Linked DNA regions of Kluyveromyces lactis. The protein of the gene in region 2 interacts with the protein of the main gene of each other region in a pairwise test. Links are inferred from orthologs where the notes say so. Each region holds a gene or a part of one and is shown on either strand. Other genes may lie near its edges.

Evidence for each region.
Region 1: the proteins of END3 (region 2) and MET4 interact in a two-hybrid assay, tested with the Saccharomyces cerevisiae proteins (2 studies listed by BioGRID). The link is inferred for Kluyveromyces lactis from reciprocal best matches to the Saccharomyces cerevisiae genes END3 and MET4.

What each region holds. Positions count from the first base shown.
Region 1 is NC_006039.1:1,125,435-1,129,368, forward strand, and holds MET4 (Met4p), read left to right. Parts: upstream 1-1,304; coding exon 1,305-3,434; downstream 3,435-3,934. Other genes in the region: SNAP receptor VAM3, read right to left, coding at 3,586-3,934. UniProt on the Saccharomyces cerevisiae protein: Positive trans-acting factor capable of stimulating the transcription of the MET genes from the methionine biosynthetic pathway. MET4, MET28 and CBF1 are required for full induction of MET25 and MET16 gene transcription.
Region 2 is NC_006039.1:982,841-985,759, reverse strand, and holds END3 (End3p), read right to left. Parts: upstream 1,644-2,919; coding exon 501-1,643; downstream 1-500. Other genes in the region: chaperonin-containing T-complex subunit CCT2, read left to right, coding at 1-350; AXL2 (Axl2p), read left to right, coding at 2,754-2,919. UniProt on the Saccharomyces cerevisiae protein: Component of the PAN1 actin cytoskeleton-regulatory complex required for the internalization of endosomes during actin-coupled endocytosis. The complex links the site of endocytosis to the cell membrane-associated actin cytoskeleton.

The DNA.
Region 1 (3,934 bases), about 140 kb from region 2:
TTTGTGAAAACACTGAAAAAGAAATTAAATTTCACACACCCACCTAACTTTAAGCTATGTAAACTGTGTACCGAGAAAACTACGGAGGGAAATTCTCAGGTGATAGGAAGGAACGGAGATAGAGCAACAAGGTAATCTATGCAAGGAGCAATAGCTCTTACTTACACAGATGATCAAATTGTGTTTTACTAGCCGCAATATCGTAGCCGTTTTATCCTGCTAATAGAATTGTGTCTCTGCTGCTCTTTTCCCGTACCAACCCGTATTTACCCTCACTATGTTTCTTTTTCATTTTTCCTTTCCAGTTTTTTGTAAAAAAAAGAAAAGCACAGGAAAATGGAAAAGAAACATGGAAAAGGAAACTTTAATCCGTATTTCACGAAACAGTAAGAGCAAACTGGTAGGAGACAAGAAAGTTTTTTTGATATGCATAGGTCAGTCGGGAGATATTTATCGCACCTCCTGTTCTTGTCCTCGATAATTTGCGATGGGGTCTTGTCGATTCCCTAGTTTACGCTATCTATCAGATTTTCATCTCTGAAGATTAGATTACAAGCTCCTTATCTTGAAGGAAGAAAAAGACTTGGCAAACGCAGGTAACGACCTCAAGCAAAACACAATAATCAAACGGCGATCGGCAACCGGCGGTCGGCATTAGTACTGAAAGATCAGGTATAGGGAGAGCATCGGATGAGTGTTTACTTGCTGTGCTGGATTTTCAAACTGTCACTAGTGTGCTGTTTTTTCTCTTTACGATATGTATAATCATTCTTTAGATCAGCGAGCTTTTCTATCTGTGTGAGAGCATCTACGCGGTAACACTCCAGCAATAAAATGCGGGGTTGCTTACTGACTCGAGAAATGAGAATGTAGGCACTAATACTGATGGATAAATAAACATTTTTCCGCGGGTGATCGCAGAAACCGGAGGAAAGCAAGAAAAGAAAAAAGCGAACAACACGAGGGAACACAAATCACGTGCTTCGTATCACGTGCAGTTTGTACTGTGGCTGATGTAATGTCTGTATCCGGGTAATTTTCTTGTCCGGGTAATAGACGTTCCACAGTTTGGTGATTACTTTTTTCTTCTTCTTTTCCCTTTCCTCATTTTTTTCCCGACTTTTGATGAAATTGCACGAGACCTGAGCTGAAGAATAATACAAACTAAAGTATTTTCAATCATCGTCTACTGTTGATATCAACAGCATCGAGTGAAAGGCCACATTCAAATTTGAGCCTTAGTTCCAGGGAATAACGACAGTGAATCTTTATTTATCGAGCCGGCTTCTCTCATTCTTTCCGCTATGAATAGTGGAACTTCCAATAATCTTAAGCGCACTGGTAGCAGCAGTAGCGGTGTTGGTGCAAGGAATATGGATAATCATATTCGAAATCCTAATGATAGTCATCCCAGTCAAGGTATGGACAACATTTGGGGGAACAGTCCGGAATTCTCGACACATTCTCCATCTACCGCATCGAATCACTTACATTCGTTGATTAACCCCCCTGCTGATGTGAATAATGATGTTACCCCTAGCATTCTTTTGGAACAACTAGCGTTTGTTGATAATTTTATTACTGATTTTAACTCTGACTTTGGACCCAATGTGACAAATTCTTTTTACAACAATGAGGGACCTCATGGTGACACTGTAAATTCATTTAGTGGGATGCCCTTGAATCATCAAGTTGGTGGTTTAAGTGCAGATAATCAGCTCGCGATGGATGAACGTTTAGCGGCGGAATTGAGTGTTTTCGCAGATGAGACTTTTATTTTCCCAGATGAAGACAAAGCTGATAGACATGATAGCGATGACAACGGCGACCATTACAACAGCAACCATAACTTCGGATTGAACAACAATGCTAATCCTAGTACTAATGATAATAACATCGACAATAACAATAATAATAACAGTGGTAACAATCATAATAGTAATAATAACAATAATAATAATAATAATAATAATAATAATAATAATAACAGAAACTCTTCGGAAAAGAGAAACTTGTTCGATAGAAAATCAAACCTGCTGGGAAACCAGTATGATCATACGCGGCAACGGTTTTCGAGGAAAAGGTCATCGACACAGAATTCTCCGATCCCCGATCATGGAGGATTTACACACTTTGATGTTCAAGACCAATCCAATAGTCATAATACAGGCAACCTAAATGGCACAAGTGCAAACCGCCAACGAGATATGCCGTTTGCCACTTCCCCACTAACAAATTTATTAGCCGCATATGATTTAACTTCAATGTCATATCCGTCCAATACCACTGTATCGTCTGCCTCTTCAATCGTCAACACAGCTAGTAACCATGGTAATAATCATGTCAATAGCAACGAAAATCCGTATCGTCCAAGTACGGCTGCAACATCAGGATTTGAATCAAATATACAGATGCCAGACTACTCTACAATACAAACTGCGACTTTGGTATCATTGTTGCCTATCATTAATGTTCCCAGAGGTGCTTACCAGTCTTTGCGTAATGTTGGCTTTAAACCAGAACAGATTGACGCCATAGCTGCTATTATGGCTTATTATGAAAGAGAAAGAGAAAAGTTTGATCCTCCTGTGAGGAAGCCAACTAATTTAAATAATCACTCTACAAATAGACCACCATCGTCAGCTTCCCATCTGGGCTCATCGATAGATGTGAATTCGCAAAATCAACTGGTTCCTGAACCTCAAGAACATATTCAAAGCTCCGTTGGCATGCTATTGGATTTTTTGCATGAAAAACCTGAGCCATCTCCTCAATCAAGTGTCCATAAACCTAATCCAAAAAGAGCCAAAAAAACTCCAGTGGAAAAAGAGTCTAGAGTTATTGATACATATATGAAAAACTCACCGAAAGTGCACCACGGCTCAATTTCTAACAACATAAAGAAAGAAAGCGAAGAGAATTCTGCAAAGCAAACACTGGATGATGGTATCAGTAAAACACCAAAATCAGTTGTCAGGAAACTAGAATCAGCTTCCTCTCTTAGGAAGGATGTAACGTCTGCTAAATTGAAGGAAGAGGTGAGACAATCGGAAGAACTTCTCAATGACAAGGAAAATGCTGCTAAGAGTCTCGATGAGAAGATAAACGAAAAAAAGCATAATACTGATTCTGATAAAAACAATTCCTCCAGTGATGGTGTAGAATCGTCGTCCACTTCCTCAACCCTTTCTTCAAGACCCAAACTGCCGAACTTGGATCAAACTAAAAAACTTAAAGAGAAAGAAATGGAAACTTGGGTCCAAGATCTTTCACAGTTAGCTTGTGACTTGAAGCAAAGAATCAATACCCTTGAAATGGAAAACAGACTTCTCAAAAATCTTGTCATTGAACGTGGAGATCTCAAGAATGTTGAGTCTTATGAACTATCCAAAAATAACTCCTCCGAAAGCACTAAAAAGGATACTGACAAGTAAGCTATGATTAATAATTAGTTGTAACCTCTAAGTCGGACATATTTACCTGATGATGCGTGTTCTCTAAAACGTAACGTAACTTTCATCCAAGTATAAGGCCAGAGATAAATTTTGTATTAATATATAGTTACATTCCTCGTAGAATCTAACCCTATGATAGAATCGCGATAAGAGTTATTAGAGTGATAACAACAATAGCTACTAGAAGTATTGTACCACATCTGTTCTTTTTCCTTTGATATTCATTTGCTTTGTGAAGTTCTTTGTTCGCCTTTTGCAAATTATTAGATAATCCTGTCACATTTTCGCCAATTGTGTCAACTTGTTCGCCCTGTTCCTGTACCAGACTTCCTAGTTGTTTGAAGATGGCATTGACCTCTTGCACAGCAGAGTGGATTTTTGATATGTCCTGGGATCTTTCATGTTGAATTATCGTGTGAAAATCTAACTCATCCTGATTCAACAAAGGCTCTTGCTGTTGGGTAGACAAAAGTAACGGA
Region 2 (2,919 bases):
CTGTTGACACAGTAGGGCAAAATGTTGAAGGTAAGAAAGCACTTGCTGTAGAATCTTTTGCAAAAGCCCTAAGACAATTGCCTACTATTCTTGCGGACAACGCTGGTTTCGATAGTAGTGAATTGATCACAAAGTTAAGATCTTCGATTTACAACGGCATGAGTACATCAGGTTTGGATTTGGATAACGGCACCATTGCTGACATGAGAGAACTAGGGATCGTGGAAAGTTATAAATTGAAAAGAGCTGTAGTAACCTCAGCCAGCGAAGCAGCCGAAGTCCTCTTGAGAGTGGATAATATTATCAGGGCTAAACCAAGAACAGCCGATAGACAGCACGGTCATATGTAAATTAATTAAATTAGTACTAAGCAATCACCACAAACGTTTAAATTTCGTTCTAATATCCAAAAAGTTAAGCTAAGAAGTGAATTATCATTATACATGAAACAACGTAGTTCAAAATTTACTCCAGAAAGTATATAGGGTAGGTCAATAACCTCAGTAAAGAGATTGCACCTCTATCTTCAAATTATGCAGTTCCGACTTCTTTGTTTTCAGGTACTCCTCCAACATTTGTACTTGCTGCTCAATACTCTCTATATCATCCCTCAAACCTCCAACATCAACGCTTTCTGAAGAAGTATTGGAATTATTGACAAGGTTTTTTTGGTATTCCAAGAACTGTTCTAACTGTTGTTTTACTAATTTCATTCTATCATTTGAGTCATTATGAGAGGTGGATTGTTGCTGTGCTGACGATAATTCAGAGTCAATATTTGCCAATTCCCTTTGAAGTCTGACTACTTCCCAATCAGTTCCCTGAGTAACAGAAAAATCAGTACCACCACGTTTTGGTATTTGGTAAGATGAAGAGTTAGATGTGGATAGTGTTGGCCTTCTTACTTCGCTCTGCTTGGAAGACAAATCCGTGGAAACTCTAGTCTTTGTAAAAGTTTCTTTCAATGCTGAAGGTAAATGTGATGGTATTGGGCAAGCATAGTCGTTCACTTGTCTCAGAATATGAATAAAGTATAGTGCTGGATCCTTATCTATGGAAGTGTCAAGCTTAGGATTAACCAAACGCCACGTTTTTTCTAAATCTTGAGATGATAGATTGATATACTTCGATCTAACGGCGGAGGATAGTGAAACATAAGATACACTATTGTCTCTAGAGGTTATGGCTGATTCATAAATTGATTCGTATTGTGACTTATCATCTCTTGATATATACCAATCAACTTCTTTTTGATAATCGTCTACAGCTGGCGAAGATGTCGGAACATTGACCACAGAACTTGTTTCTGCTGTTCCGCTACTACGTTCAGTTTTTCTTTGTTTGACTAATTCGGCTTTTGAACCGGGAATCAACCAATCTGGCAATTCATCTGGTACAGAATCTATGTTTTTATTAACCATGTCAAATATCATTCTCATACAAATCACAAACTCTTCAAAATCTAGTTGATCATCATCATCGATATCGGCCAAAAACCATATTTTGTTAAGTATCGAGGTGTCCAATTTAGAATTGAAAAGGATAGGCAGTACTTGATCATGGGTCAACTTATTTTCCACCGGTTTCAATCCGGAGAAAATTTGCCAATACTTTTTGATCTCAAATTGTTCAAGCTTTGGCATCTTAAATTGGTATTTGAATTATCTGTGGAGTCAAGCGCGATTAAAATAGAGGTCAGATATCAAATTAACACTGAGCTCAAACGTAATGTTTTCTTTGAAGTATGCCTGCGTTACTCACAATCAGTCAAAGAGACAGGAACAAATAAAACAAGAATATGTTATACCTGCTATCGCTCTAGCGTGTTCTTCGGTTTGAATCGTTTGGAACCTTATCTACTTCAATAAATTGCAATTTAAACCTTTTGGATAGTTCATCGTATTGATCTTAACAGTAATATCACCCATTTCAGTGCTGAAAGAAAATCAAAATTCCATTGACCTACATTACAAAAAGGGGAAGTCACGTTATACGTAACACACGTGACCTTGAATAATAGTCAAACAACCCCTCACGTGACAAGAATTTGTATCTGTTTTTTTTATATCTTTTTGGTGGATGCTACTGGTTTACCCGGTGTTCGCGTTATATCCTATTTTGGTAACACATTTAGAGAAATCGCGAAATGTTTTAAGGATGCCAAAAGAAGAATTATAAGTGAATCTTCAGAACTTTGAGGTAGGTGAGAATTTGGGGGACCAGAAGTAGAATGTGAGATGAAAAAAGCTAAGACAGGGTTGTAGAGGATTTCGATTGTTTCCAACTGGCCCGTTAGTTTACTGAGAAGTAATACCAAAATATAATAATGGTTTTTCCTGTCTTGCAACTGTGATATTTTTGGTGTCTTTCAATTAATATTCATATATTTCACGAGATGAGGGCTCCCGCCTTAAATAAAACAAGATGTATTCTCAGGGCCCATTCGTTTCTTCCTCATCTTAACGGTTCTGCAATCCAGTAACGCTTTTACGTTATACTATCCATTAACTTTTGAGATAGAAGGAGCAGCACTAACTGTCCGATCGCTACGTTGTTCATTGATCCATTCATTCACTCCTTGACAGCCTTCATCTGAAAGCAATAGCAGAGAGAGAATTAAGAGCTCAAGAAACGCATACAAGGAAAATTGGAACTAAGTTTACTCATAGTTGTTCAACTGGACTTTAGTTTTTAATTTGGAATAAGAGAAATTACACGAACGGAAATTAGTTCATTATACAGGGTTTAGGGTTATGAAGACTGAGTTGCTGTTGTCTTCGGCGCTGTCACTTCTCTTTGCCGTCGCATCAGCTTCTGTATACGAAGCTTATCCTATTAACAAACAGCTTCCACCAATTGCAAGAGTTGACGAGGATTTCCAGTTTAAAATCTCTAATGACACCTTTAAATCAACTAACG